Lonchura striata: one gene and its partners. The protein of the gene in region 1 interacts with the protein of each later gene in a pairwise test. Links are inferred from orthologs where the notes say so. Each region holds a gene or a part of one and is shown in the gene's direction. Other genes may lie near its edges.

What was found.
Region 2: the proteins of BHLHE40 (region 1) and RHOBTB3 interact in binary tests that used the Homo sapiens proteins (3 or more experiments, as listed by UniProt). The two-hybrid records come from large-scale screens. The link is inferred for Lonchura striata from reciprocal best matches to the Homo sapiens genes BHLHE40 and RHOBTB3.
Region 3: the proteins of BHLHE40 (region 1) and AANAT interact in binary tests that used the Homo sapiens proteins (3 or more experiments, as listed by UniProt). The two-hybrid records come from large-scale screens. The link is inferred for Lonchura striata from reciprocal best matches to the Homo sapiens genes BHLHE40 and AANAT.
Region 4: the proteins of BHLHE40 (region 1) and HIVEP1 interact in a two-hybrid assay, tested with the Homo sapiens proteins (2 studies listed by BioGRID and IntAct). The link is inferred for Lonchura striata from reciprocal best matches to the Homo sapiens genes BHLHE40 and HIVEP1.

Annotation. Positions count from the first base shown.
Region 1 is NC_134614.1:23,080,950-23,088,625, forward strand, and holds the start of BHLHE40 (class E basic helix-loop-helix protein 40), read left to right. Parts: upstream 1-4,097; 5' UTR 4,098-4,135; coding exon 4,136-4,215; intron 4,216-4,310; coding exon 4,311-4,380; intron 4,381-4,760; coding exon 4,761-4,868; intron 4,869-5,354; coding exon 5,355-5,478; intron 5,479-6,509; coding exon 6,510-7,369; 3' UTR 7,370-7,676. UniProt on the Homo sapiens protein: Transcriptional repressor involved in the regulation of the circadian rhythm by negatively regulating the activity of the clock genes and clock-controlled genes.
Region 2 is NC_134642.1:53,371,172-53,379,662, reverse strand, and holds the start of RHOBTB3 (rho-related BTB domain-containing protein 3), read left to right. Parts: upstream 1-5,057; 5' UTR 5,058-5,237; coding exon 5,238-5,641; exon of another isoform or gene 5,642-5,678; coding exon of another isoform or gene 5,679-5,680; intron 5,681-5,786; coding exon 5,787-6,003; intron 6,004-8,491. UniProt on the Homo sapiens protein: Rab9-regulated ATPase required for endosome to Golgi transport. Involved in transport vesicle docking at the Golgi complex, possibly by participating in release M6PRBP1/TIP47 from vesicles to permit their efficient docking and fusion at the Golgi.
Region 3 is NC_134621.1:4,057,422-4,064,674, reverse strand, and holds AANAT (serotonin N-acetyltransferase), read left to right. Parts: upstream 1-4,332; coding exon 4,333-4,489; intron 4,490-5,205; coding exon 5,206-5,360; intron 5,361-5,950; coding exon 5,951-6,256; downstream 6,257-7,253. UniProt on the Homo sapiens protein: Controls the night/day rhythm of melatonin production in the pineal gland. Catalyzes the N-acetylation of serotonin into N-acetylserotonin, the penultimate step in the synthesis of melatonin.
Region 4 is NC_134603.1:91,367,665-91,375,626, reverse strand, and holds the start of HIVEP1 (zinc finger protein 40), read left to right. Parts: upstream 1-4,795; 5' UTR 4,796-5,183; exon of another isoform or gene 5,184-5,324; intron 5,325-6,130; 5' UTR 6,131-6,204; intron 6,205-7,962.

The DNA of each region.
Region 1 (7,676 bases):
GTCCCACGGCGTCCCTTGGGACCGGCCTTGGCTCAGGGGTGTGGGCTCTGCCACAGCCTCGGGCACGGGGCTGGGAAAGGAGAGGTGCGGCTCTCCTGGGAGCTGCTGCCTGGCCACATCCCCCCTGCCCGCACTCTGCAGGACCACTGCCCGCACATCCTCGGGGATGGAGGCGCTGCCCGTCCCCGCCGGAGCCTCCGCTCCGGCCCGGGAGCGCAGCGGAGCCGTCCCGTTTGCTGAGCACGGAGAGAGCCCCGCTCCAGCTCTGCCGGAGCCAGCCTGGCTCCCGCTGGGCTTTTCCTGCTGCGGAAAGCACGGGGTGTTCCTGCCGGGGCCGAGGATGCCGAGGCGGAGCGCATCCCGCTCCAGCCTCGGCGGGGCTGAGCTTTCACCTCCGGTGCCAGTAACCCGAGCCGGGATTGCTGGAAATGGGAGAGGGGAGAGTCAGCGATTTGATTACAGGCCACAGGCACATGCCTGGCCTTCATGGATATATTAAGTAAGAGACATTTTAAAACAAAACCACCCTCAGTAACCTTATCGTAAGCTCGAATCCACAACCCATCTGTTAACTCCCGGCGCTGCCCACATAGGCTTCCATCAGACAGCAGTGCCAGGGATTTTTGGAACGTTTTCCCCCAAATCCCTGCGGTCGGAAGGGGACAGTCCCGGGGAAGGGGCAGATCCTGAGTCTCGGATTCCCAGCCCACCCCCAAACCAGCCCCCAGACTCTCACCTTCTCGTGCCTCTGTAAATAGCTGCAAATCCCCTTGGACAGAGCTGTCGCGGTCCTGTGACTCCCAGCCCTGCTGGAGGAGTGCTCAGGAGAGCTGCTGCTCCACGGATGGCTTGAGGGAATTCAGCCTTTTTAAACATTTTGGTACTGCCTGAATCGTGTGGTGTAAAGGAGCCCTCCATGTAGAAATAATTCAGCAAACACAAGCGAGAAGGCGAATTGATGATTGCATCAGTCCTTGCTCATGAAAACTGATCCCCGGGAAAATGTAACTCAACTCTCGAGCAATCTCACTTGATGCCCAAGAATGCAATAACTTCATTTGGATCCTCCTTTTTAGGGGGACTCCTAAATCCTTGGCAACGTCCCTTAAGGTCATGAGCAAATCCTGATATGGAGAATTGTTTGGCAAGCACGAGAACAGTAAAAGGGCTAAATAATTGGGGATTACCTCTGACCCTGATTTGTGGCTCACCACCCACTGCAGGAATGTACCGAATATCTGAAGGAGCATGCAGGAGTCAGACAATCCACGGGCATGAAGCCGTCCACGTACTCTTGGAGCTTGAACTTCGAATGCAGAGCAGGTTGGCCCCAAACCTCATTTTTCATTAGCAAAAGGCTGTAGCAAGCTCTAATTATTTCTGTTGCCTTGGATGAAGGGTCAGTGATGGGACAGATGAAAAATTGCCTGTGTTTTTTTCACTCTTTGTTTGGAAAAGAACAGCTTTGGTCTTGGGGACACAGAGAGAGCAAACCCTCTGCTCCAGGGCTCGATACTGAGGCTGGTTTTGGTCCCCTGAGCTGCAGCAGGGGAGAAACCATCACCCTCATGTCCCCTGATGCTTCTTGCCGAGTTTGTTCAGTGCCTGCAGGAAAGAGCAGCTCTGCTGTGGGAGGTCACAGCTCTGCTGTGGTTCTGTGGCACTCCGAGCTCCGTGCTCAGTCCCAGCTCCTCTCCTGCACGGCGCCGGGGCTGTGGCACCACAGAGACCCTCAGGGTCCTGCCCATGGAGGGGGTTGGATTGAGAAGTCTTTAAGGTCCCTTCCAAGCCAAACCATTCTGGGATTCCATGATCTTGGCCATAATCACCGGGTTTGCAGGCTGGGATGTCAAACGCTGGGAGGACCATGTTGAGTGGGACAACCCAAACATCTGTTCTGTGGAAGCCCCACGTCACTGATCCAGTGCTGTGGTGTTCACACTGGAGGTGCTGCTGGGAGCTTGTAGGGGAGATTTGGGGGTTTTATAGACCTTGCATGTATGGCTAGCATCTTTCTGAGGCTCTGACTTCCCTTGGGATTCTTCCTGGTAACAACAGACACCTTTGGGCGGGGGTAAGCCTCAAACAGCCTGTCTCCATCACCCATCTAAAACCTCTCTGTGCTGTCATGTAGCACCTCCTGCCCTCGGATTCCTGCCAGGGTGGAGCAGCCAGAACTCTGCAGGCAGTAGCAGCAGCTCAGTGCTGGAGCTCTGCTGCTCCCTTATCTTGGTAAATGCACCTTTTATCAGCTAAGCCTGCCTCTACTTGCTCAGCACTCAGCAGGGAAGTGACCACGGCCCTCCAGCAGAGCTCTGCCTTGGCAGGTACACACAAACCATTGTCATCGCTCGGCGTTGTGCAACCGCTGGCGTCCAGGGGCTGGCACGGGCATGGCATGGCATGGCATGGAAGGGTCTGGGCTGGGGGGACCTTAAAGTTACCATCATCCACGCCCTGCCATGCACAGGGACACCTTCCACTAGACCAGGTTGCTCCATGCAACACTTCCAGGGATGGGGCAGCCACAGCTTCTCTGGGAACCTGTGCCAGCACATCCCCACCCTCACAGGGGAGAATTTCCTGCTGGTCAAAGAATCACAGAATGGTTTGGGTTGGAAGGGACGTAAAAGCCCACTTCGTTCCAGCCCCCTGCCATGGGCAGGGATGGATGCCTTCCACTGGAGCAAGTTGCTGCGAGCCCTGGATACCCCCAGCGATGGGGTCCTCCCACCCCAAAACTTCCCTGCAGCACTGCCACTTCCCCAGAGCCACATTTTAGCGACTCTCACTTTATTTCTTCCCCCACATTTCCAAACTTTCCGTGGCTGCAGCTTTCTCTGTGTCCGTGTTTTGTGTCTGTGTCTCTTTGGGGGTGTTTTGTTGTTTTTTTTTTTTTCCTTTATTTTTTTTTCTTTCTCCCCGATCTCGGGACACAACAGCGGTACAGCATGGTATGGCAGGGCACGGCATGGCACAGCATGGCACGGCATGGCATGGTATAGTATGGCACGGTATGGCAGTGTATGGCATGGTATGGCACAGCATGGTATGGCAGTGTATGGGATGGTATGGAGTGTATGGCATAGTATGGCACAGCATGGCATGGTATGGCATGGTATAGCACAGCATAGCATGGCACGGTATAGCACGGCATGGTATGGCATTGTATGGCACAGTATGGAGTGTATGGTATGGTGTGGTGTGGTGTGGTGTGGTATGGTATGGTATGGTATGGTATGGTATGGTATGGTATGGTATGGTATGGTATGACACGGTATGGCACAGCACATAAGGCAATATATGGCACGGTATGGCACAGCATGGCACGGTATAGCATGGTATAGCACACCGTAGTATGGCACGGTATAGCACGGCATGGTATGGCATTGTATGGCACAGTATGGAGTGTATGGTATGGTATGGTATGGTATGGTATGGTATGGTATGGTATGGTATGGTATGGTATGGTATGGTGTGGTATGGTGTGGTATGGTATGGTATGGTATGGTATGGTATGGTATGGTATGGTATGGTATGGTATGGTATGGTGTGGTATGGTGTGGTATGGTATGGTGTGGTATGGTATGGTATGGTATGGTATGGTATGGTATGTAGCATGGCATGGTATGGCACAGCATGGCACGGTATAGCACAGTACAGTATAGCAGTGTATGCCCTGGTATGGCACAGCAAGGCACGGCACGGCACGGCACGGCACGGCACGGCGCTGGCACAGCACGGTGCTGGCACAGCACAGTGCAGCGGTGGCACGGCATGGCACAGCACAGCACAGCACAGTGCAGCGGTGGCACTGCCCGGCACTGCCCGGCACAGCACGGCACAGCACAGCACGGCCCGGCCCGGCCCGGCCCCGCCGCGCCGCGCCGCACGTGCGGGGGCGCGGAGCCGGCCCGCCCGGCGCCACGTGAGGCTCATGTGACGGCGGCGGGGGCGCGGCCGCCAGACGTGCCGGCGGTCACAGGGCTCCGCGCGTCGCTCCCGTCCACCCACCCGCCCGCATTTAACCCGGCCCGCGGCCGCCCGCCGCTCCTCAGCCCGCGCGGCGCGGGCGCGGCATGAGCAGCGGCGGCGGCGCCCGCAGCCCCTGAGCCCGCTCCGCCGCGGCCCCGCCATGGAGCGCGTCCCCGGCGCGCAGCCCCCGCCCGGCTGCCTGGGCAAGCTGCCCGCCCTGGAGAGCGGAGACCTGCCCGGGTAAGCGGGGCTCGGGGGCTCGGGGGGCTCCGGGGGGAGCGGCGCCGCCGGCTCCGGCGCGGGGCTAACGCGCTGCTCTCCTTTCGCCCGTGCAGGCTGGACTTCGCGCACATGTACCAGGTGTACAAGCCCCGGAGGGGCTTAAAGAGGAGCGAGGACAACAAGGTGAATGGGGGGTGATGGGGTACAGTGAGGGGTGAGAAGGTAAATTGGGGATTAACGGGGTAAACTGGGGGTTCACGGGGTGAGTCGGCCGGTGACAGCGCTCCCGGGGCGGGGGCTCGGCCGCTCCCGGCGCGCTCGGGACGGGAGGAGCGGCGGCAGCGGGGCCGGGCCGGGCTGTCCCCCGCTGTCCCCCGCTGTCCCCCCGCTGTCCCCCGCTGTCCCCCCGCTGTCCCCCCGCTGTCCCCCGCTGTCCCCCCGCTGTCCCCCCGCTGTCCCCCCGCTGTCCCCCCGCTGTCCCCCGCTGTCCCCCGCTGTCCCCCCGCTGTCCCCCCGCTGTCCCCCCGCTGTCCCCCCGCTGACCCGCTGCCCCGGCCCCGCAGGAGACCTACAAGCTGCCGCACCGGCTGATCGAGAAGAAGAGGCGCGACAGGATCAACGAGTGCATCGCGCAGCTGAAGGACCTGCTGCCCGAGCACCTCAAGCTGACGGTAGGTGCGAGCGGAGGGACGGGGGGAGCTCCCAGCGCTCTGCTGCCGCTTCACCGCGGATTTGGGCTGGGTTTGGGGTTTTTTTTATTTTTTATTTTTTTTCCACCGTGGTGCCGCACGCCCGGGCAGGCTGTAAGCGCGTCCCAAACTTCCCCGGGAGCTGCGGCTGCCCGCCGGACCGCCCCCGACACCGGGCGAGAGCTGTCCCCGGCCGGGCCGCCCCGGTCACGCCAGGGGCGGCAGGACCCAGAAATAAAACGCTTCTCTCCGGGCTATGCGGCTGGTCCGAAAGTACCCACAGGGTTCCGTGAGAGCCTTTTCCGTAGCCGGCTTTTTAACTTATTTCCGTGCAATGCTGCCGGCGGTAGTCCCGCCTGCTCCGGGTCTCACCGTGCCCGTCCTCCCGCGGCTCCCGGGGAGGCACCGGCGGCTCCTGCGTGCCTGGCCGAGCCGGCGGCGGGTGCCAACCTGTCCCTGTGCTCCCAGACTCTAGGGCACCTGGAGAAGGCTGTGGTTCTGGAGCTCACCCTGAAGCACGTGAAGGCACTGACCAATCTCATCGAGCAGCAGCAGCAGAAGATCATCGCTTTGCAGAGCGGTTTGCAGGCGGGTGAGTGTCCGGCCGGCAGGGTGGGAGCCCGTGTGTGTGTGATGGGCTTTCCCTGGGGAGCCTGTGAAATGTGCCTGTGACACCCTGGTACCGAGAAGGGAGGGGACAGGAATTCTGGCTTTTCCTGCTGTCATTTTCTCAGGCTTTGCTCATGAGCTTTCACAAAAAATGATGCATTGCTCAAGATGGTCAATGCAGAGTGCCCTGGGAGTTGTTTGAAATTAAACTGGGTTTTAAGTAGTTTTAGTTGCAGCCCAGGTTTGCAGTGAGGTTCTCTCCAAAGCCATTCGATTCTTCCCATTTGTGCTTGTGACGCAGTCTGGTTTATTTGGTTGTTTTTCTCTGAAAATAGATATAAATCTGCTTTCTATACACACCTTTTTAAGTGTGTATAGAAAGCAAATAACCTTAAGCTTTTTAAGTTTCTTTATAACCGAGCTGGCCTGTGCTCTGCAGGCAGAGGGGACCCGGTGCTTCAGCTTATCAGCCTTAGATGCACTTCCTCCTGCTGTTTTCACATGTGGCTCTCACGTGAATCAGACACAGTAAACCCGAATTTTTGGGAGGTGCCGTCCCTGCCCCGGCAGCCACAGGGAGTGCAGTGGAGCAGTGGAGTCCCCTGGGGCTGGTGGAGCTGCTGGCAGGGCCGGGAGCTCCCTGCCCCGAGGTGCAGGGCGAGGTGCCCTGCCTTCCCCGGGGGTTTCCTGGAGAAGCCACAGCTTGACTCACTCCCCTCCCCGCACTCCAGTACCTGTTGAAGGTGGATTTTACAGTAAATAACAAAAAAAAAGCAGGCAGCACTTTACGTGAACTTTTTATGTAAAAGCGGACAGGTGGATGTTCCAATGGAATTGTCCATTTCTGCAGAAATCTGGGGATTTCTGTTCATAGACTCCAGCTTGGCCAGTGCTTTCCCCTCTGGCCGTGCTGTAACCCAAGTCCAGCGTCGCCTCCGGTCCGCCTCGGAGCTGGAAATGGAACTATTTAGCATGTTGTTAATTTTTAATTTCTTTCTGTTAATGTTTCCTTAGGTGACCTGTCATCGAGAAACCTTGATTCCAGCCAGGAAATGTTTCGATCCGGTTTCCAGATGTGTGCCAAGGAAATGCTGCAATACCTGGCAAAGCACGAGAACGGCAAGGAGCTGAAGTCGTCGCAGCTGGTCAGCCACCTGCACCGGATGGCCAGCGAGGTGCTGCAGGGCGGGGCCGCCCGCAAGGCCGGGGACATCCCTCCCAAAATGCTGGACTTGAAGGAGAAGCCGGCGCCGCTGGGCGCGGCGGGCGAGGGCCACGGGAAGAACTGCGTGCCCGTGATCCAGCGGACATTCGCTCACTCCAGCGGGGAGCAGAGCGGCAGCGACACGGACACGGACAGCGGGTACGGGGGCGAGCTGGAGAAAAGCGACTCCAAAGCGGAGCAGCCCTATTTCAAAAAGGATACCGACCTCAAGTACGCTGTCCAGGAGAGAATAAGCTCTATTAAGCAAGAGACTGAGGACCCGCCGGCCAAAAGGAGCAGGCTGGAGTTGCCGCAGGACGAGGGCCCTTTTGGCAGTGACATGATGGGCTCTTCCAGCAGCTTCCTGGGCCCCCACGCTCACCAGCCTCCCCTGTGCCTGCCTTTCTACCTGATCCCGCCGTCCGCCACCGCCTACCTGCCCATGCTGGAGAAGTGCTGGTACCCGGCCTCGGTCCCCGTGCTGTACCCCAGCCTGCCGGCCTCTGCCGCAGCTCTGACGGGCTTCATGAACCCCGACAAAATCTCCCCCCCTCTGCTGATGCCCCAGAGACTCCCTTCTCCTGTACCGGCCCATTCCCCCATCGACTCCTCGGCTCTGCTTCAAGCTTTGAAGCAGATTCCTCCTTTGAACTTGGAAACCAAAGACTGAGCGCAGTGTGACTGGTTTTTCTTTTTTTTTTTTTTTCTGTTTTTTTTTTAGTTTGAGAGACTGTTTCACTTTTATATATTGGCTGGACTGAGGTGTGGGGACAAGGTTCACTGTGCGTAGGAAGCTAAATCCCTTTTCTCTGACTTGTCAGGTAGCTTGGAGAGGGATGAAGGATGTGCCCAGGTTAGCGATTGACAACTGCTTCCAAAAGATTAAAGAAGGGTTTTGTGCTTGGCCCCTTCCCTTCTTCCCTCTCCACATCTACAGAACAACAGTTGACTCGGTCAGCTGCGAATCTATTGCAAAA
Region 2 (8,491 bases), on another chromosome or scaffold:
ACTTCCCCATTCTTTGTGGTGTTTGCTCCATGCCCACCTCTCCCTGCAGCTCAGCCTCAGCTCAAGTCCAAGTCAAGGCATGGGGAGGGGTAGCAGGGCAAGCTGGGGTCAGGTGATGCTCCTCTGCATGACATAATGGTGTATGTCTGCCTTGTGGCAATGGCTTCCCTTTCTAGAATAGCAGAAACAATATATGAACTACTTTTTTTTTTTTTTTGATCCTTTGACCTTTACTGTAATGCAATTTGTAACACTTATTAAATTATGACATAAGAACTGCAAGGTGCAACTCTGCATCTGCTGGGGATTTTCACCAGTGTGAGAGGGGTTTCTTCTGCAGCATGTTGTACTTTCAGCCCTTCACCTCTGAAGAAGGTTGGGACATTTAGGCACCCCATGAGATGGGTCCCCACCTCATAGCACAGGACCTTGTTTCTTTCACTGCCAAAATCAACAAGATTGTCAAGCAATTCTTGTGTGGGACATCTGCAGCAGCAGACCTGGCTCTTGTTTTCCACATCTCACCCTCACAGGGTTAGCAGCTTTCCACAGCTTATTAGTTGCTTGCACAGCTCTGTTCTGCCACAAAATGGATCTGGTTTTAAATTTAAAAGTGTCATATATTTTTCTTTCTCTTTCTCCTCTTATAGATAATTTCCCACTCCCTTCATATTTCTGTTTCAATGTTGTACTGATGCTTATTCCTTGGTACTAAAATTAAGAGCCAGACATGGTTAAGGGATACAGGGTTTTTACTTTGGTATTGAATAAGGATTTTTATGGTGTGACACGCCTCCAAGGTGGAATACTCAGAAATGCACACACAGAGTAGATCTCATATACAACTTTATACACCTTGTAAATTAGCATATCTATCAAAGATGCTCTAATGAGAGACTTGAATGAATAGCATGATATCTCCTTGTCCTGAAGTATTCCCACAATGGCCCTAATCCTAGTTTACAGGATGTATTCTAGAGGGGACCTAGATTTCTCAAGATAGTGTAGGATTTCTGGCCTCCAACTCTGAGTCCTTTAGGATGTTTGGTCTTGTGGCCCAACAGAATACCAGGACTATGCTAAATTATCAGATTTAAAGAATTACAAGTATGCATGCTAAGGGCACTGAGAATAATAAAAACTATATAAAAGAAAAGACAAAAAATTGTAGTGGCATCAGCACTGGTATTACTTGATCTCATTCACTAAGTTTAGAAAAAAAAGTAGTAAAAATATATGTTAATTAATGGACAGGATCAGATAAAATTTTTGAGAGCAGTCATAAGAAACTGGCAAGAAAAAAAATTGTGTCTGGGGTCTGGGTATCATAGGAGGCCACCATATATTCAAAAACTCTTTTAGCAAGCTCTGGGTAATGCCAAAGCAGTGGAAGCAGCTACCACTCCTGGTGAGATGACACAGTCTTTGAGAAAATGAGATCCAGGGATAAACACAGTCTCTTGGGAAGCTGTTGGAGAGGCTCCAGTGAAGTTCAGCATCACTGGCTTCTGGAGGGAGGGTGGTAAGTATGCCAATAAAGGAGGTCATGTGAGCAAAATAATCCTCTTGCACTTTCAAAAAGCTTTGAGAAGCTTTTTGCAAAGCTTATTAAACTTTGTAAAGAAAATAAGTTGCCACAAGATTGGATGAGAGGTTGGTTTTGGAGTTGAAAGCTGGTATAAGAAGAGGAAGTGAGGGACAGGGCTTAGTGGTCACTCTCCAGGAAGGAGGAGATTTATGCAGTCAGGGGATAATTCAGGTCAGAAGGGACCTCTGGAGGCCATCTAACTGAACCTCCTCTCCAAACATGTCTAAAGGGCTAAGGTTATGCAAGGACTTCTTTAGTGAAATTTGAATATGACCAAGGATAGCCTTTCCACAACTTGATGCAAAAGTCTTAGAATTTGAGCTGTTTTTTCTTGATGCCTCCATCTGTGACCTCTACAAAGCAGTGAAACCTGTTGGGCTGGAGAGGTATTGGGCTCTGACTGTAAGTGCCTGTGCCATCCCTGAAACAGACTTGAATGTGCAGGGTGGGGTAGAGCTTGGTGGTCCTCAAGGTCCTTTTTAAATCAAACCATTCTGTGATTTATGTGTGAAATTTTTTTTAAAAAATTGCTTCCAAGTTTGAACAACACTACATGATTTTTCTGGCATAGTTATGCTGAGAAATACTACTGGTCCTGAGCACTGTCCTTCCATTCATTTCCCATACACACACAGAGATGTCTTTTATTAGTGGGGATGTGGCAGATGGCTACAACAGAAAACCTTATTTTTGTTTGCTGGTGCTTTGTCAGAGCAGATCTTGGCTGGCAGATCCTGCAGCAGCCGTGTCTACTCTGGACAAGCACCAGTAAAACCAAGCCTATTGCAGGATTTTTTTTTCCCAGTATTAGGAGAAATAGGTCTATACAGCAAAGTGTATTAGTGTTATTTGGAATTATATTCTATCTTTGAAAAAAAAAAAAACTGGAAATTTACCTGTTCTAGAGCAACACATTTTCTCTTGCACCTAAAGCTGACTACACCAGCATCAGCAGCAGCAGCAGGAGCTTTGTGCAGTGTGCAATTCAGCTAATATGCAGGTTTGGCAATGACTTTGACTTCAAGTACATTAAATCTCCTCACTGTCCTGAAAATATAGGCTAGATAATTCTGGATCAATGCAAGTAAGGCTACAGATTCCACTAGGGAAAAATCCTCCTCCTTGACTTGCTTGCACTTTACTCCTTGCACTAGCAAATATCATTTCCCTTTGTCATTAACAACTGTGTATTTGTTTTCAGTGCTTTATCTGAGGTACTCACCAGAAAGCTACAACGAGAATGGTTTGAAAAAAAAATGTTCCAGTGCAAACTACACAGGACCGAATAGGTGATTGTTTCCTGGACCTTGTCAAAGACTCCCTTCTCTGCAGTTTAGTCTTTGTTAGCAACAATGGCAAATGTCTGCTGGATAAAAGGTTTGCTGATCACAGGAGGGGATTCAGCTTTCTGATTGCCAAAGAGAGAACAGTCAAGCAATCCTCTGTAATCCTCTCAGTTAAACAATCTTTTACGGCTTTCCCTTGCATTGCCCGTATAACTTGTAGAATGCATCTAGGGTAGGGGTGCCAAGCAACTTCCCTATTTGTGGTATTTATTATCCTGCCAAGTTTAAATAATTTCCTTTCCTGTTTTGTTTTGTTTGTTTATTTGAAATGCATTGCACAACCCCTGAGCAATGCAAGCAAAAACAGTTTACCTACTTTGACAGCAGAACAGACAGCATTCTCCAATTTTAATGCTTGCTTTTTAAATATTGTTTTCAGGCATCTGATTGCTGGAAAACTGTTACTAAAACAGTTCTGTGTATTTTAGTATGCAAGCTTTAAGTGCTGTTCATCAGCCGAGATGTATCTTGCATCCACAATCTGCACACTTTGCCAAAGCTGATACTTCTGTCAGTCCTAAGTAGTTTCCTGGGTGGTTGAAGGAAGTGAGAGGAAAACAAAAATGTTTTCTGTGACCCTCCATCTCAGTTGGTACTCCTACCCATGTCACCCCTGGGCAGGACTAGGTCTGAAGCAATGAATAAGCTATGTTAATTGGAGTTTGGGTTAATTGGGTCACTCCTCATTAGTACTGCCTTATTTACCAGTTCAGTTTTTCTTGGTATTACATCTATATATGTGTCCACATCTGCACATGTGGGTGTGTTGCATTTATAATATGCATGCATGTATTTTAAACATATGCCTACATGAATCTGTGTATGCATATTTATGTCTGTATATGCATGTTCACATTTATTTATGTATTTAACTATCTATGCATTTAGTTATACCAGGTCAGGCTCATTAGTGATGTGAAGAACTTTTCTTGCAAAGGTTTCCTCATTTTCGATAGGTAGATTGCTACAAGCATAAATTTAAGAATTCCAAGGGATCTTCAGTGACCTTTAAAAAGCACACAAATAGTCATGGTTGAAAAATGTTGAATGCTCTGTTGACTCACAACATCATGTACCCAGGGTTTGGGCACCACTGAGACTTTGGATATGGACAGTGGTACTTCACAGTCAGAGGATCATCTGGGGAAAAAAACAGTGGTTTACTGTGATACTTTTTAAAACTTACCTATGAAATATGCATTCTAACTATTTTCCAGGATGAAATAAAACCACAACTTCAACTTGTCATTTGTCTTTTAGTTTTCTAGAGCAAAGCTAGATTGAAAAGCAGAAGCTAGGATGGGATAAAATGTGCAAAAACAAACAGGTTAGGAAATTATCTGTTGTTTTGTTCTTTGGGTTTTTTTCTTTTTCAGTAGTCCCTGTAGAATTTATAATAAAAGTAAAAGTAATAAATTAGCATTCATTAGCAGATAATAATATTTTTTTATCAAAACAGTCTTGCCATTCAGTACTATACCGATATAAAACTTTGTTAGTGACATCAAATGGCATCTCCTAAATTTGCAAATAGTGGAATAGTACTTTTCTCAAAGTATGGATTGTTGCAAGTAAAGCTCTATTAATTATTCTGTTGATAATAGTATCAAGTCCTGTTTTGAATGAGTTCTTGCCCATGGGATTAACAACAGCATGTGTTCACATAACACAGAGTCTTGTGTACTATCTAGTATGCCTAAAATATTTTTACTCTTTTTTTATTATTTTAGTGTATACAGTGGTATGTGACAGCAAATAGTATTTTTAGAATGGATTTGGTATATTTCCTGTGTAACTCCTTTAGGTAACCCTGCGTTTTGGGTTTTGGGCTAGGTGATCTTCAGAGGTCCCTTGCAACTTAAACCATTCTGTGATTTGTGTTTGTTTTACTACAATGGAAGAGCATCCTTTTGGAAAACTGTGCTTTAAACATCACATGAACACTAAAAGGCGTGAGTGGCATTTTAGAAATTGTATTACTAATCAGCCTACTATTGAAAAGATAGATATTATTTAAATAGTAATGGAAAAAAAAGTTTAAATACTTTAAAAGAGAAAGTTTACACTGTTCTCTCCTTTTTTTGCGGCAGTCCCAGGTCCCTCCCCTGGTGCAGAGAAGCGGTGGCACCGTCCCCTGCTGAGCGGATGTTGGTCCTGTTCCTGCGGGGCGGCAACAGAAGGCGTGCGGGGTGGGACACGGCTCTGCCCCATCGCCTTTCCCTGCCCCTGCTCACCTGGCTGTACCTGCCCTCGAGACGTCATGTCGCTCTGCCATAGCGTCTGCGGGGCTGGCTGACGTCAGGATGCGATGGCCGGGACCGCCCGGCCGGACGCGACATCGCCTTCCGCGACAGCGCCGGAGCACCGCGGCTACCGCAGCCTGCGGTGCTGCTCATCTGCTGCTGCTGCAGATCCCGATCCTGCTGCAGATCCCGATCCTGCTGCAGATTCCGATCCTGCTTTTGCCGCTGCTGCTGATCCTGCTGCTTCTGCTGCTGTGGCTCCGGCGTGCGGCTGCAGTCCATCGCCCGGAGCAACCAGCACCGAGTTATCCAGCCTGGCCACAGCCGGGGGAATGTGGCAGGAGTCCCCGAGGTCACCGCAGCGAGGCTGAACAAGCCAAACCCGCTGGGGATTTGCAATGCAATCAGCCTTTCCAGGTTTCTTTTCCGCTTTGCTCCCACCCTGCTGTTGGATTTGAGATCATGTATGTGTTTTGCTGTTGATTACAGGAGGGTGTTAAAATGTAAGGAGGGAAAAGGATTCAGAAGGATTAATATATTAGTTTTGATTTTATTTTCTTTCCCTTCATCTTTGTTAACACAACTTTGTCTTTATTATTTATATTTTAGGTCGGTTAATATTGTAGCTTTTGGGAATGAAAGAGATGGTTTTTCTGAGGACAATCAGCAGCCGAGTCTCATCTGGAGCTATCTCGGGAGAAGTGCTCTCATTTCCCAGATCGACAGCAGCTTGTCTGCCAGTCACGTTGGAAATCCAGTTTTTACTGAGTATCAAGCCTGCGTATTTGGAAATGTCAGACTGGTGGTACACGACTGTCCTGTCTGGGTAAAAGATCCATCTCACTCTTTTTAACTACACTTAAAAGTGTGAGCTGTTTTAGTAAAATGAAAGCATATCCTAATTTTAAATGGTTGCCATTGTTGTGGGATTTTTTTTTTTTTTTGTAGTTTTATTATTGCATTTAGTAATAAATCTTCAAAAATGTAACCAGGCAAATGCTGGGAAATCTCAAAGGTGCTATAAAAAGGTTCTCATAAACAAACCTCTGCTGGGCCTTCCCTGTAAGAAGGTGGTTTTTTCAACTTCTTGCTTAGTGGAAATTTTGTGAAAGATAATCTAGAGGTAAACAAGAATGCCTTCTTTGTGACACTTCATCATAAACTCTCTCTCCAAATATTTGTCAAAAATAAAATGACATTTTATTTTTCTGTAAAAAAAAGGCAATAAGTTTTCCAGCTGTGAAAAACGACAGATTAAAAGTTTCGATAGGTTGCAAATACCATGTAGGGAGTAATTTTACTCCTCTTACAAAGAATACTCACGTATTAACATTATTGCCTTTATCTGATAGTAAATAAAAAAGATTCTGGCACTGTTGCAAGTTGTTGGCACTTGTGTTAGTAAGTGAGAAAACTTACTTTTGTAAGTAAGTTTGGAGTGTGAGCAGATCAATGATTATGTAAGAAATTATACTGATAATCTAAATTAAAACATATTTAATGACTACTTAGTAGACTTAAAAAAAACCCTCAGCTTACCAGCTTTTAGAAATTAAAACAATAATCAGTTTCAGCACTATAATTCTATCCTTTGAGTGATTTTTCTACTCCTGTAAGGGAAACCTTTTGTAGAATCTGCAGGAGCCATAACAGCTCCATGAAATTATCAGAAGCCAGCAATCTTAAAATGAAACAATCCAGTTTAGCTGCTCTTTATTTCTTTTTTGCCAGAATGGACTGGGGATCCTGTTTCTAATCTGTGAAACTGCACGTGACCTACACATGCAGTTTGCTGGAGTCACTGGAGTGCAGCAAAGAGTAAAATCTGAATATAAATGAAGTCTGTAGGGCTTCAAAGGCTGTTTCAAAGGGATGAAAGGAGGTGGGTAAGGCAGTGGGGGCAGCTGGAGAAGGAGAAGCAAGAACATAGACTGGAGACAAAGTTGATGAGTTTTTACATTGCTTTAATTGCATTTGGCTTTCTGCAGAACAAGGTTGTTCCGTTCTGAAGACCTTGTAATTTCTGCCCTTCAAAAGTTAGCTTGTTATTATCTGAGTTATTGCATTTCTGAGGCCTTCAGTTTTTTCCCCTCTATCAGCTAAAGGAGGCAGGATATACATTACTGAGAATGTTGAGGACAAATTAGCATTTTTCTCTTCATGGAAGACATGTCAGATAGCAGGACTGGACTCTGCAGCAGGTTGTCATGCATAAAGCAGTGTCCTTGGTAGGGTAAGGCAGAGCAGGACCATTTCCCGCAGCCTGGGTGCTTGAGATTCACTATGTCACAGTGGCTCGTTCAGGGCTGCTAGCCTGGAGAAACAGCACAGAACAATTCAAAAGGTTGACAGATGTTGCTTCAAGCCATATTCTGCATAGAAAAAGGATTGATGTTTCATGTTACCAAAGCACAGAGGTGGTGGTATGGGGGGGCCTTGCAGTATTTCACCATCTGAGCACAAGGCAGATTTGCATTTTACCTGGGATTTGTACCTTATCTAGATTAAATGCATATGATCAAGACAAGAAGGTCCTAGATATGAACTTGGCAGCTGAATGCACTGATAGCTGTGAGTCTCAAAACTCAAGGGTGCCCAGCTGCTCTTTGTCCTCCACAGCCATCAGTCTGGAAATGCAGTGTTGATGTGGTTTTACTGAGTACAGCTCCACAGTGAGTGGGGGGATCCTTTTGCATAGTAGATTGTGGTGCAGTTTAATTTTCTTCCATTTCAGTCTGCACCTGTCTGTCAGCCCAGGACACTATTCAGCCTTCTGAGTCTGCAGAAGGGTCAGCAAGACAGGTGTCTTTGGGAAATTACAAAGATAAATTAATGATTGCCAGCATGCAAACTAGCATGTTGTGAGGAGCTCTCCTTCCCCTGGCAATTGCAGGGTGCAGGATGTAAATGCTGACTTTGGGGACCTTATAATATCACAGGGCTGTAGAGATAGCAGTGGAACACCACACTTTTCAAAATCTGAAGGCAAAATGTCAGAGTTTCCAAGGACAGATTGCTCTTTAGTGTGAAGTGCTCAGTAGACAGTGTGTCACTCTCTGGGTGTACCAGTATGTCTTGCTCTGGCAGAGCTGTGTACTGTGTGCAGGGGACAGGCTCACAGTGCACCAACATTGTTGCAAATCACCCGGCCTCAAAACGTTTCCTCAAAAATGCAAACCTAGGGTAGAGAAGGCATCAGGAACTAAGCAACTAGGGAAGACACATGTGTGCTAACATCTCTGCTAAATATTGTGGTTTTAACAGCTGATCAGTTGCTAATGCATGCTTAAGCTACTCTATAATAAGGCATATTG
Region 3 (7,253 bases), on another chromosome or scaffold:
CTGCTGGGCTGGGCTGTTTTAATGGCTGGGACTTGCTCCAAAATGCCATTTCTGAAGAGCAAAAACCTGCTGGGTCATATTTCTGTTTCGATTCAAAGAAAAAATTTAAAAGAGAGTGATAAGGGTGTAGTTCTAGGTAATTTTGCCCATAGCTCTAAGCTAAAGCAGGTCCAGAGCTGCCCTGGAAATGTCTCCAGCAGAGCAAAGCCAGCTCTGCCTCCTGCTCCAGGCTTCTTTCAGGATTGCATCTGGTTCCCAATGATAACTATGATGCCAATATCATGCTCCTGCCTGGGATAATCTCTCTTTTATTACATGTGTTCTGATGGAGACAAACATTGCTGGTTCTGCCTGTCCAGTTTCTTATGTAACAGCTCCCAGGGACAGAGGGCTGCATGGGGGAGAGATGCTTGGATTTTGGAATAAACTCCTTGGGCAAGAAACCTGCGATCTGACTCCCCGTCCTAAAAGGAGTCAGCTGAGAAACTCCCCCCTGCTCAAGCCCAAGCCATGATCGTGCCTGGCACAACCAGCAGCCTCCCCATCCATCCCCAAATAAAGTTCATCCACTCTGGGCAGGGCTGCCTTTGGCTTCCTACGGGCTCCTGATGCTGCTGGAGAGGTCAGGAGCAGGCACAGGACCGTGCTCCCTTTCCTGGCTGAGTCCCCTGCTGTCCCTGCCCAGCCCACAGAGCAGAGCAATCAGCTAAATGCTTTATCCCTCTGTGGCCAGTCACACCAGGAAAAAAAAAACAAAACAAAAAACCAAAAAAACCCAACAAAAAAAACACGAAACAAAAAACCCCTATAGTGATCCCTTTGCTGGCCTGACACCTTAAAGCCTCTCACTTCTCCCTGTCTTTCATCGGAGTTCTAAACTCCTTAGGATGTCATCACGTGCTCCATAAATAACAGATCTATATAAGCAGGGGCTGTGAGGGATGCAGCAGACAGAGGAGGGGAGGCAAAAACCCGGATCCTCCCTGGAGGCAGGAGGGCAGGGCTCAGCGACCTGGCTGGTGAGTACCCACATTCCTGTCACATCCCAGGGACACTGACAGCCTTGGGGACAGCTGCTGGTCCCCTGGCCACTGCGGCTTGCTCCTGTGTCCCATTTCCCCAGAAGGGTGGGAGGTTGGCATACAAGGCTTGGCTTGCTGAGAAGTGGTTTTGGCACAGGGCAGGGTGTGACTCTCATCCCAGCTCCTGTCTCACCCCTACACTTCCAACACGTGCTTCCAAAATCCAGCTGCAGGGACTCTTCTCACTGAAACCCTCACTGTTCTCTGGGCTCTTTCACACAGAGTATTTGATTTTAAGACTGGGTGAATAACTCTGTCCTGTCAACTAATTTTAAAAATCCAGCTCCAAAGCCAGGCAGACAATTCATAACTTAGTAAAAGATATTGCCAGGGGGGTTCTGTGCACCTGCCTGTTTATTTGCCTGTGAGCATCTCTCTGTACTGTGGGGATGCTCTCATTTCTGGTGCACAAACACAAGTAATGGCAGGAAAAATGTACAGAGCAAGCTCTTGGTTCAGTGCTATGACACACAGACACAGTGGGCTCATCTCAGGCAGGTCTGGCAAGGAGTCACAGCACAAAACCCAGCCTGGGGTATATGTGACTTGAACAAATACAGAAGGCTTTGTTGGAGCATCAGAGGACAGATAAGCCACGGAGAGGGAATTTTCCTCATTGTTGTTTCTCACTTACTCTGGGACCTGGGCAGAGTTTGTTTCACTTTTGCAGGTTTGATGATTCCCATGGTACCCCCGTGGCTGTGCAGGGCTCCTGGTTTCTCCAGGGTTAGGGAGTGCTGTTGGTTCCTCTGTGCTCTGCAGGTTCTATGTATCCCCCCTCCCCAGAAGACCTTATACTCTTCAGGGAGCTGAGAAGCAAAGCAAGAAGTTCATTTCCAGAAAACAAACAAATATATCAACCCTTCAGCTGCATAACCTGGGTTGTCAGCAATAATGTGCTGGAGGGGAAAAAATACAAGGAAAACAAGCAAGGAGCAAACTTTCCCCTTCCCTGACTACTGCTCCAGGGTGTTGCTGGTTGGGGTCTCAGGCAATTTCTAAGAATAGCTGAAGGGACCTGATTGCCCTTTCCCAGTTTTCTCTAACGGGATCGGAGCAGCCACTTAAATACAAGGTTTTGAACCTTCAGCTCTGTGGATGTCTCTGTAGAGACTTGCTGTGACTCAGTTGTTTCCAGCCTCCACATGCTCTGGGATAAAGACTTGCTCTTGGGCACTGAGCACTGAACGGTGCCTGCTGGAGAGCAAACAGCCCTGAGGAACCTGGGCAGGTGGAAGGTGTCCCTTCTCCCTGCAGGGGCCTGAACTGCATGACCTTGAACAGTCCTTTCCAACCCAAACCACTCTATGATTCCACTGTCCAGCTCTGTAATTCCCATGGGAACTGAAATTCTGGCCCTGCCTGCCATATTCAGCTGCCCTCTCTGCCCTGCCATACCTGCACAGCCATCCCAGCCTGATCCAGCAGCGTCCCCAGAACTCACCCCAGGCACTCAGCACCCCCAGGATCAAACCACCACTGCATTTTCAAGGTCCCCTGAGCTTACCCTCTTGCCTACTCTGGGATTTATTCATGCAAATGAATCCCTAATCCAATTAGTAGGACGAGGAGTTCCAGAAGATTTGATAATAAACTCTACAAACATTAGACCCACCCCCCACTCCCCCAGCACCCCACTCTCCCTGACAGCTCACCCTGCTTTACTTTCCTCCTGCAGGAGCATGAACCATCCATTCCCAGCATGAGTTCTGTCGGTCCTTGGTGGCTGGAATGAGCCCTGGGGATGCTAAATAATTCCTCTGCCAAGGAAACCCTCTGTCCCTGATGGATCTGCTCCCTTAGATACACACCCACAGCCAAACCAGCGATTCATTGAAAATAAATCCTGACCACCCTGTCTCACCTCGGGCTGCATAAGACTGGCATTTCAAGCATCCAGCCCTTGGCATTTCAGGATGGAAAATTCCCAGCTTGAGCCAGTTGTGCCCTGTGCAACGTTTGTGCTGGTAATGCTTTTGTTTCCATAAATCCTATTAGCTGGAGGCAAGCCTATAATTAGCAGGGAAAGCCAGCACCTCTGAAACAATAATCAAAAATGACCCAGCTTTGCTCTGTCTTCACTGGAAATTGCTTGCATATTGCTCTGAGTTTGGATGGATGGTCGAATGGTTGGCTCTGATAGCCATTCCCACAATTTCTGTCTGCAGAATGCGTGTGCTTGGTGAAGTTATTCACTCAGTTTGTGGTTCTCTCTGGGTTTATTAACTCAGTTCACTCACACGTGAAAGCAGAGGCAGATTGAAGCTACAGGCTCTGATCCAGGTCAAGGGATTTGTCTGGGCTGTGCAGAATGGGTCTGCCAGATGCCCTTGGGTGCTGGTGACCCTCTTGGAGGAACCTGTGTTGAAGGTGTTGAGGGTGGAGTGTCATGGTGTCCGGTGTCTGGTGGGATCATGCTACCCCAAGCTGCTGGGGCGGGGGGCAAAGCCTGAGGCCACCTCACCAGGGAGGACAGCCAAGGCTTTCAGCCTCAGTCACCTGCTCAGCCCTGCCAGGGAGCCACTCTGTGAGGTGGACATGACCTGAGAAACCAACAGAGGTTGAGCTGTGACACTCACCTGCTCAGTGAGCCAGAGAAAGAGGTAAATCCTGTCAGCCTGTGCTCTGGAGGAGGTGGCTCTGGCTGCCTGGTGTGTGTCCCTGTCAGGGCACCTCTGTGACCTCTGTGACAGCTGTGCTGTTCCAGAAACACCAGAGCATCACAGGGAACTTCCACACAGATGCTTCTTTTACAGCTCTTGCCTTCCTGTGGGCACATCCCACCCTGCCTGTCCCCAGGGCAGCAGCTGGACTTGCTGCAGGGTTCTCCTGCCCATCGCGCTGCCTGCTGCTGACATGTCAGTGCTGGGCAGGATGCTCAGCCCCACGCCTGCTCCAGCTCTGGCAGCTCTGGCCCCTCTCCCTGCTCTGTCCCACCACCGGATCACTGTGCTTTGTCCCCCTGCTCCCTGGGGTTAGCTCAGCTCACAGCCGCTGCCAGCCTCCTGTGCCCCTCGGCTCACAGCGCGGGCAGCTGGGCTCACTGCGGGCGGATATTTGCTGTCCATACAAACACAAACATCCACAGGAAAAGGGGGGCAAGCCGCTTAATCCTGTCTGCGAACAACAGCTACTCCCACTGGCTGACAGCGCTGGAGGAGCTCGGCTGGAATAAAGGCTGTGGGAGCCCAGCCGAGGGAGCGGTGGGAAGCCAGGCAGGAGGAGGAGGAGGAGGAGGAGGAGGAGGAGGATGTCGGCACTCGGCGCCCTGCCCTTCCTGAAGCCGGTCCAGCTGCGCTCGCCCCGCAGCTCGCCCGGGGGCCAGCGCCGGCACACGCTGCCCGCCAGCGAGTTCCGCTGCCTCAGCCCCGGGGACGCCGCCAGCGTGTTCGAGATCGAGCGCGAGGGTAAGGGCGACGGGGGAGCCTGCCCGGTGCCCTCAGCTGCACCCCTCGGCATCCTGCTTCCAGGCTCCTGTGCTCCTTGTAAAGGAGAATTCCCCTGCGGGTGCCCTCGTGGGAAGGATGCAGTGGCCGCGGCTTGTGGCCAGGCCACCCCGACGAGGTGGAGGAACTGTGGTTAATGAGCTGGAGAACCACGGCCCCAGCTCGCCCCGGGAGGTGATGCTGAGTAGGACCAACTGAGCGAGGAGCAGCTCTCCCAAAACCCTGTGGAAGGATAGGAAAAGGGGAAGTGGGAGGAAGGACACCATGCTCTGCCTCCTGCTGCACAGGGGCATTTTGAAGTGCCACCCTGGCAACCTTTCCCTGTTTCCTTCACCATAGGTTCCCTCACCCAGCCTATTTCTCCCTCCTCTCCAAGGGCAGGGGCAGCCAGGAGATGCTGAGAGGGAGGGCTCCATTCAGCACCTGCTGCTGTAGCTCTGGAATCAGCAGAGTTAGGAGCCGGTCACTGGGCCATGGGGAACTGCTCCTGGAGAAGCAGAACTGCTCCTTGGAACCATCTGTGTCCCTCAGAACTCCTTTAGCCCTAGTAGGCAGCAGGACACATGCCATCTCTGCCCATCACATCCCACTTTGCCTCTCCTACATCAGTGCTGGGAGTGTTTCTGGGTCAGGTGTGCTTTGTCTCTCTCACTGAGTTCACCACTGCCCCTCTCCAGCCTTTATATCGGTTTCTGGGGACTGTCCCCTGCACCTGGACGAGATCCGCCACTTCCTGAACCTGTGCCCGGAGCTGTCCCTCGGCTGGTTTGAGGAAGGGAGGCTCGTGGCATTCATCATCGGCTCCCTCTGGGACCAGGAGAGGCTCAGCCAGGTATGACCCAGCCCTTCCCACCTCGTGCACCACCAGGGAGGCATCAGCTGGTTTGAGGGCAGCAATCCAGGACCCCTTGGGGCACCTCAGCCTCAGGGGAGAAGGGGCAAATCCAGCCTCAGGTCATTCAGTGAAGGGGGGATAAAGGCAGGGGTGACTCTGCCCTCAGGCAGGATCAGGAGCTTCCATGAATCCAAGTGTTTTGGTTCTCCTTCTGCTAGAGACCCTCCAAACCCTGTCTCCTCCCAGGGAGGGGTTTGAGTGGCCCATCAGGGCACCAGCCCTGCCAGAGCCTGGGGACCAGAAAAAGCTCTCTGGGGCCCTGCTACTCCCAAAATCTCCCACAACTACCTGCTACGGGGCTGCTCTGGTAGAAACGAACTTTCTCATTAATTAATTCAAACCACGCAGTTAAAAAATATGCCAACCAATTCCCCTCAACATTCATTTTAAAATTAAAAACCCTCCGAGGACGATGGGGGCGAGGGATGAACAGGGATGGGGAGGATGTGGAGCCTGCTCCTTTGGGGTGGGAATAAGGAGCAGGACGGGACTCGCTGGTGGTGCCAAGTGCCGTTTCCCCCTTGCAGGCAGCACTGACCCTGCACAAGCCGCAGGGCTCGGCCGTGCACATCCACGTGCTGGCCGTGCACCGCGCCGTGCGCCAGCAGGGCAAGGGCTCCATCCTGATGTGGCGCTACCTGCAGCACCTGCGCTGCCTGCCCTGCGCCCGCCGCGCCCTGCTCATGTGCCAGCCTTTCCTCGTGCCCTTCTACCAGAAGTGCGGCTTCCAGGCGCTGGGGCCCTGCGGCGTGACCGTGGGCGACCTGGCCTTCGTGGAGATGCAGCACCCGGTGCGGGGACACGCCTTCATGCGCAGGAACAGCGGCTGCTGAGCCCCTGCCCTGCTGCCCGGGGGGATGAGAGGCTGCAGCTGCTCCCTCTGCCACATCTGCCCGCCAGCCACACCAGCCCGGCCCCATCCCATCCCTGCAGGGCTGGGCACGGGAATTCCTGCCAGATCCTGCTGGAAGCATCAGCTCCCCCGGCTCAGCTTTAGCCCGGGCTGTGCTGAAGCAGAGCTAAACTACCTGGGCTGTGCTAAGGCAGAGCTCAACTCCCTGGGCTCAGCTTTAGCCTGGGCTGTGCTGAAGCAGAGCTCAGCTCCCCGGGCTCAGCTTTAGCCTGGGCTGTGCTAAAGCAGAACTAAGCTACCTGGGCTGTGCTAAAGCAGAGCTCAAATCTTGGGCTCAGCTTTAGCCTGGGCTGCGCTGGCAGGTGTGGCTGGGCTGCAGGGCCACCAGCCCCCTGGGATGGAAAGGCTTTGCCCTGGGAACAGCTGGGGGCTCTGCTGGTTTGGGGACACTTCCACCCACCGTGGTTTGCTGAGACACCCAGCAGAGCCCCTGCAAACATGTGCCACAGCCTGGCACCCCTCCACCATCACCACCACCACGAGAGGAGCAGAGCATGGCCCAGTCCTCCTGAGCAGCCCCCAGACCAGACAGGGGCCATGGCAGACACCCCCTGCCCACAGACATCCTTCCAGCCCCCTTGGAGCACACTCCCAGCCCACAGCCATCCTCAGCTGCACACTGAGGAGCCTCCCCAGGGAACCAGTCCAAATTATGGTCCTCCCTGTCCCAGACCCACAGCCAGACCAGGAAAATCCTTCTGCAAACAACTCAGGTTGTTGGAAAGCAGCAAATAAAGACGTGGTGGTGATTTTCTACACAGCCCATGTGTGTTCCTGCCCTGATTTCATCATGACCTCACCACAATGGGCAGAGGGAGGGCACCAGCTGGTTTGAGGGCAGCAATCCAGGACCCCTTGGGGCATCTCAGCCTCAGGGGAGAAGGGGCAAATCCAGCCTCAGGTCATTCAGTGAAGGG
Region 4 (7,962 bases), on another chromosome or scaffold:
ACACTTAGTACTTCTTATCAGTCAGACTGATCCACTTGTGTTGTATAGGTCAAGGGGGCTGGGATCCTGCAGTAAGATTCCAGAATCACCTTTTGGTCACTTCATCCAACCAACTCCACACAATATAAAGAAATGTTTTTGGCCTCAGTAGTAACAGAGCTGGGCAGCAGGTCTCAAATTTGAAAATAAGAAGCAGCTATTTGTATTTCCATGTCTTCTCTCTGCTTCCACTGGGAGCTGCTTAAAAGGTATCCACCAAACAGTCCAGAGGGAAGATGATAGAGAAATGAGTGAAGGAAGCTTCAATCCTTCCTTTCCTAACCTGCAACTTCTCAAGGTACATCCAGATTGGGAAAAATAAGATGGAACACAGTATCTCTTCATGCAGTCTGGGTAGGGAAAAGGTGCTTTGAAACTGGGAGAGAAGTAATGTGGAGAACAACTGGATAAAGAGACAAAACACAGCAGGAAGACAGGCCTTGGGAATGGGAGTAGGGAATGAAGAGGTACTTAAAAAGAATGTGTAAGTGGAAAGGGTATATTAAAAAGAAAGTTTATATGCAGCCTGTGGGGCAAAAAGGGGAGATACAAAGGTAGGTACCATGAGTTTGGCCTCCATAAACCAGACTAATTGTCCTGTTTACTTTATCCTGCAGTCCGTAGCAGTGGAACAAAGTGTTTTTGCATCTCTTGGTTTGTGTGAATAATATGTTCTTGGCATCAGCTTTGGTTTCAATGTGATTGGTTTTTAAACATAATTAGAAGTGTTTTTACAGATTTGTGTATTTCTGTTTAAGAGACAACAAAAAGTAATGCACAGATATGTTTTTTTACCAGAGAAAGATCTCTAAAACATTACTAGAATGGCACTACTGTCTTAACAGGAAGAACATGCATGGTGGATCATTGCAGAATTGGCTCTGAATGTTTGTCAGCAAAACCTCTGACTCAACAGAAAGCACAACCTGTGGTTTGTTAGCCCCGGTGACCTTGGTGCCTCATTGTGCAAGCTGTTCACAGGATCAGATACCCCAAAATGGAGCCTTAGATGGGGGAGGTGTTCAGTAATGTTTCAATTATGAACTTTCTTGATTTAATAATAATAATTCACTTTGTTTTTTCATTTGAGTTCACTGTGGAGGCTATTGTAAGATCATCAGGGACTCCAGGAATGCATGGTCCCAGTAAGCCAAGGGGATAACTCACATGCTCAGATGATGCCTGTAAAACTTGATACAAGAACTCCTTAAGCACATGCTCTGGTTTTCTGAGAGTGCATTAGTGGGACTTAACAGACACACAAATTCTTTCCTGAAGATAGGCACAGGAAAAATTACTCCACAAAGGAAATGCCTCTCCATAGAGGGACTCACAGCTGTGCTATGTACTCTTCCCCCTCACTGCACTCTGGTGCCTGAAGCCTTTGGGGAGCTGAGCTGTTCTTCACAGGCTAGTCTCCTATCTGTGTCCAGCATCTGCCTCATGTGTCTTGGTTTTCTTTATCTCAGCTGGCCTGCCTCCATGCTGGATTTCTTCTGGACAAGCAGACAAACCCAGTATTTTAAAGAAGTGAGTACACACCATTTCTGGGTTTTATGGGTTGACTGGCTGCTTCTCCTGTAGCACTTCTATGGCAATAATATAATCTAAGTATCTTGAAGGAACTTAGACAATCTAAGCCAGTGGAGGATTCGATGTCTTAACTTCTGCTTCTTCTTGTGTTTCCATGAGCTTATCTGCAAATTTAACAGTGCATCAGTGTCAGATTCTACTTTTCACAGATGTACACACATTTAATTAATCAGAATGGCTGTTCCATAGTTTGGTCAAAATAATATATAAATCGCATTTTTGTGACTTAAAAAAAGGCTTTGACACTTGCGTTAAAGACAGGGCTGGGGAATGATTCACCTCTGAAGGAAATAGTGTGCTCTTTCTGTTGTACCACTTCTTAAGCCACCTGACAAACAGCTTTGAGACCTGCTGCTGCACCCTAGAACATGTTTTGATGTTGCCTTTCAAGCGTTTAAACAGAAGATAGAGCCAGTTGTAAAATGTCTTACTTCTTTTTGATGAAAAAGAGCTTCAACTGGAATGTGATGAAGCCACGGCACAACTTTCTGGAAGGGCTGAATGTGCAGCTGGAGGTGAAGAAGTCGGTGTAGAGGCTGCCAAGCCAGACTGGAGCAGCAGTTTGGGTCAGGGGCAAACAGGGCTGGATGCTGCAGCTGCCAGCAGCTAATCCATGAAAAACCAAACACCAGTCATTTCTCTCCTTACTGCAGTGAGAAGCCAGCCTTGTCCCATGTTTCTTTCACTGTAGTTCTCCCTCTCCTTCGTCTGTCTTTCCTCTATCTTGTACGTTACATGGGTAATTGTTTATCAATGTGTGAAAATGGATAAAGGATGCAGTCATACTGCTGTGATAAGAATTTTGGAAAATGAGATCCATGGCTTTTACACTGTTGGCCTTGTGAAATTTTGGGACAGCTGTAAGAGTGCAAGTGCTGTGTTTTCAACTTGTATTTGTTCCCTACAGTGTGTTTTTAAAATTTTCTACACTCCTCAGGCATTGGAGCTTAACTTTCTTAGCCTTAGACTAAAAAGATTTATAAAATCACTGGCCACAACTTGAGAAAATGATTTTTCAGGAGACCTCATAAACAGGGAAATGACATAAAACCACGATAATTCACAGCAAAGCCATATGTTTAATTATTGTTGTAGCCATTTGGATTTAAGGATGACTGAACATCTTTAAATTATAGAGCATTTTTTACAAAAGGTGAACTGTGTAGTTTGTGATGAACCACTGCAAATATTCTGTGTACTATTTGAATGCCACTTCACAGTTCTGAAGAATAAAGGCTAAAGGAACTAGAAACTTTGTTGTTGATCTGTACCTAGTGATCTGCAATATGACTACAAAGTAAACATTCCAGTAAGCAAGTAAATTTTAACATACTTGAGAATCTTCAATAGAACGGGGATTATTTTCTCCTTTGTGGATTTCTTCTATTCATATCTGTACTGGGAAGGAGGCAAGGGAAAACATTTCCACAGAAAATAAGCCTGTTTTGCTTATTTCTTTTTAACCCTGCAACTTTTGAGCTGCTAAGCTAACTTAACGTGCTCAAAAAGTGATATTTAAAAGACCTCTCCCAGACATGTCTGTGGCAAACAATACTAGAGGGCCACTGAATGGCAGAAATACTTGGGGAAGAAAGCATGGGTTGGAATGCTTTTTAATCACTCAGATATGTTAAAATGTTTGTGGTCAAACCTAAAGAAAAACCATACCACTGAAGGCATCTTGGCAAGGTGCACTTGTGTTAAGTGCCTTGTGTGTCTCCTGTTTCTTTAACTGATAAAATAAAAGGCTTAGGAAAAAATGCTGGCAAGCCACACCATATTTAAATGAGCAGTTCAGAACCTAGAGCTACTGAGAAAGAAAGATCAGAGTGAACTGGTGGGGTGAGGTAAAAAAGGAGATGCAGTGGAAAATATGAGCAACTTCATGAAAAAAGGTCAGAAACCTGTCTTACTCAGAAGTAAAAATACCAGGGTGGAAGGGAGTAAAAGGGCTGTGAAAGTGCAGAGCCTGCTGACCTATAGAGAAGCATCTCTTTGTGAAAAGACAGAAGAAATTTTCAGTGGAAAGCCAAAAGCTCTGGGACTTGCTTTTCATGGGTACATCTACTCTAACTTCAGAGCACCAGCCCAAGCTCAAACTTGTCTCATGTTTGGACACAAGACTCTGCTCAGGGCCCTGGGTGAGCTCCATCTCTGGGAGGAGGTGGGGGTTTGTACTGGCTCAGTCCTTTATTATAACCCAAATGGTATCATACCATGCGCTTCAGATGAGCCTTTGCCTTCTCCCGAATTCTCCATTCCAGATCTCATAATTCTGTGTGGCAACTATCTCCCTCCTAGAAGTGCTTAATGTCACATTCCACAAAACCCTGCTGGATGTGTGGTGTGCTGAGTACGAGGCATTCACAGCATTGCCAGTGGTCCAGCCTGCTCCTTATCTGGCTAAGGGCAAGTCAGCAGCAGGGTCACACTATCTGCCTGCCACTGGGGCTTCCTCTTGGACAAAAAGGCAACAGTGGTTCAACCAGTACAATTTTAATTATTTTTTGTTTTTCTCCTTAGACTTTGGCATGCCGTCATAAATGGTTTGGCCAGACAAGGAGTGGGGCCAGCCTGGAAAATGCTGAGGGTGACTCCCTGTCTCTTGGCCTCACCAGGTGTCTCATGCTCCAGCAGGGAGGATGCTGCATGAGGTGTGGGCTCAGCACTGGTCTCACCAGGGCTTGCAGGACCAAAGGACACCTCACAGGGATTTGGTTAGAAGATATCCTTCTCATTGGCTGCTTTGCTCTGCGCCTGGTCTCTTGTCTGACCTCTGTCCTGTGACCAGCCACATGAGGCCTCATGTGCTGGGAGGAAAGAAGGCTGATGTTAGGCTGTGGTGGTGGTGGTAAAATTAGGGTTAAAGTAGGTTTTCTTCCCCTGCCTCCATGAGCTGTCCTGTGATTACTCTTGGGGGAGCACCCCAGCTTCCCCAGCAGTTGGGACTCTTCCAAAGAGGGAGAAGGACAAAAAATCACCAAAAGAGAATTTAGCGTAGCCTCTTAAACACAAGTATTCTTGTCTGAGATGCTCTGATATCATTAAGATGAATATGATATAAATAAGTAGATATGGTATCAGTGATGTTGAAGTTCATTGAAATGTTTGGTTAATAATACCTGGAAAAAGGTGAAGCTCTGTCAGTGAACTGTGCCCTATATCATGTGATTAACCTGAAGCTGGACAGATTTGTACATTTTCCTGGCCACAGGACTACCAGGTACCAGGTACCACCACACAGAGCTGCAGTGTATACACATAAATAAAAAGAAAGGTTGTGCCAAAATTCTTTGATGGAACAGTTTGCATTATTTAATGCCAAATCAGAAAGAACTGAACCAACTTATGGGACAATGAAAAGCAACTCATCTTCAGGACATCTTGAGAAAGGTGGAGATGAAGGATATTGCCATGCAAAATGTCCCAGTGGAGATCATCTTCTTGTTTGGAGCTGCAGGCTGTGAGGAGTGGTGCATGACCAGGTCCCTGTGCTGTTGCCTTTGCCTACCTCCAGGAAAGCGTCTGGCTGTTGCTGACAAGGGAGAGCTGTGAGTATCTGGGGTGACAGCTACTGCTACAGAAAAGGGGGAAATTACCTCCCCTCACATCAGCGGTTGCTGCCCTATCTCTCCAGCCCCGCTGCAGGAGTGGCAAGCCCTAGAAAAGCTCTAAGCACCCTCTGGTACCAGGTAAGCCAAGATCCTCTGACTTTCATATGTAGTACTCAATGAGAAGCCTCAGAGCATAAGCTAATAGACAACAGTTCTTTTAGTGAAACCTTTATGTTAATTCAATACAGACTACTTATGGAATTTCCCTTCTCTGAGAAAATCTCAACTTCTATAGAGAACAGCACTCAGTCTTGTTCTTTTTCTTTTCAGAATTTCAGAAGTTCCCTTGAAAATTCCCCGAAGCCTTAATAATAATGATTCTCAGTTGCATGTCAGAATGTAATGTACAATGTAAAGTTTTCACATTTGATGCTCTGCGTAGTTAAATTTACCACAGTGCTTCACATTCAATTTATCCCAAGAATTCAAGCAAAATCACATACTGTTCAACTAGAGATTTATCATGGGGTGCTTAACAATGAATTATTCAAGACTACCTAATGTATCGTGGTTTCTTGAGAGCCTAATGTGTGTATGTGTATATATTTATATATAAAATACCTGTGAGCCATTACAGAAAAACAGTTTCTGAACAAGGTTTCAAGAGTAAAATGAGAGGATGTTTAAAAATAGGTGTCGTCCTGAAAATACAGCAGAGTTTTAGAGAGAAGAAAACCTCAATAATCTTCCCTGTTCAGGTATACACATAGTCAATTAAAGAGGATCTATATCCTTCAGGACTCCTTTTAGGTGAAATTTTAAAAGTATCTAAATTCTGCAGTGAAGGTGGTGTTGTGTTTTTTTTTTTTTTTTTTCCTCTGTGCATATTGATGTGGCATTTTAAATCTCACTGAAAAGTTTTAAAGAATTTCCCTCATTTGCAGGTTTGAGAAGATTACTCTGTGCCTCCTACTAGCAATCATCCACAGTACTTTTCCAAAAGTACTTTACTGAGTGGGTAAGCACTTCCTTTTTACTGATGGAAAAACAGAAAAAGATGAAGTGGTCTGCCCGGGATAAACAGCTGGTATGCTGCCTTTTCAAAGCCCTTAGGATTGCATTTTTTACCTGACCGGGGGGCAGCGTGCTGGAACGACATTGAACTGGGCTCAAGGCAGCCCTTTGGCCCTTAGTTCTGCCCACTGGAGGGGAACCAGCTGAGGAGAGGCCCCAGCTCACAGCTGCTTTTTTGGCTGCTTTTTCAGAAGACCATGGAAATAGCTCCAAGGGGCCAGACTTTCAGTTCTTCGTTTTGTCCTCTGACCCAAACTGACTTTGCAATGACTGATTTTATGTTCAAGGGAGGATAAGCTGCCACCACATGATACACATCCCTGAGGACCTGTCTCCTCTTTGACACCTCATTGAGTCTTTCTTGTTAAGACAGTTGTGCTTGTCTGCAGGAATATAATAAGGGCACTTATTACATTCCTGTGCACATAGGTGTGATGAGAGGGCTGATTTTCACTGATAGGTGGGAGGTGGTTTGACTACTTCTATCAGAAGAAACTTTTCCTGCTGGCTGCAGGGGGTTTAATATGGTCTCATTTCAACTTGCAGGCTGGAGCATCTCTTTTGAACTTACTCAGGTCCTTGTGAAAAGATGAGTAGCCTAGAACTCCTTTGGCACCAGCAGCAGTTGTGATGGCTCTTTTTTCTGGAGGCTTCTTGTGAGAAAGGGCCACTATCTGACACTTTCTCCCTGATGACTCTGGTGATCACAATCTGAGGCTTTCAGACAATGAGTGGCAAAGAAGGATCTAGATGCTAAGTGCCCCAGAGCCTGCAGGACAGACTGTAAGGGAGAGCTGAGCAGAACAAGTAGAGGTTCAGACCCAGCTTCAGAGGTCGCAGGGTCCTGGGTTTGTGACTGGTCAGACTTGGTACACGAATTTATGTTTGTGGCACTTGTAGGATCATATTCACGCTGCTGCGCTTAGAGTAACAGCAACTCTGTTCTTTAGCAAGTCAGAGTCCCAAGTCTAAAAGCCAGACAAAGGAAGAACAAGGGAGGGGGTGGAGGGCGGGACAGACAAGGGAGAAGACAAGCACTGTCTCTAATAATAAAGAATCGTCATTTGCTTGTCCAATAGGAGCAGCAGAACACATTTCTCCTGAAGATACTCTTTGCGGGTCTGATTTTTCCATGAATCTCCAGTTCAGCAAAGAATACTTTATCTTACCCTAACCACCAGTTGCAAACTAGCCAGGGATTTCACTTACATTTGCTTCTCGTGTTGCCTCTGGGCAGGACATAGGACAGGTTACCCACAGCAGAGAAACTGCCACCACTGTAAGCTGGAAGTGTTCTCAAGGTATAATTTAAGTGAACTCAAGAGGAAAAATAGCCCAGAGACAGCGCCTGTGGCCAAAAGCTCAGGCAGAAGTGGTGTCATGTCAGTCCACAGCTATGCAGCGAGCTACTCTGCATCTTCCTGTCTTGGTTTCTCCCCTGTGAAATGGGGATTAAAATACCCATCTGTCTTACAAACATGATTATATGTAGGTTGAAAGAACTCCCTGTAAAAACCTTGAAAACTGTGGGAATGGTGGTCCTGTTTGCTTTAAGGCAAGATGTGGTCTGGACACTGAATTCCAAAGGGCAAGACATAGCAGGGCCAAGGTGCTCACAGCTGAGCACACAGACTGCCAGGGGAGTGCAGGCACGGGAGAACACGGAGGTGATGCAAGAAATATTTATTTGGGTTTGTTTGCT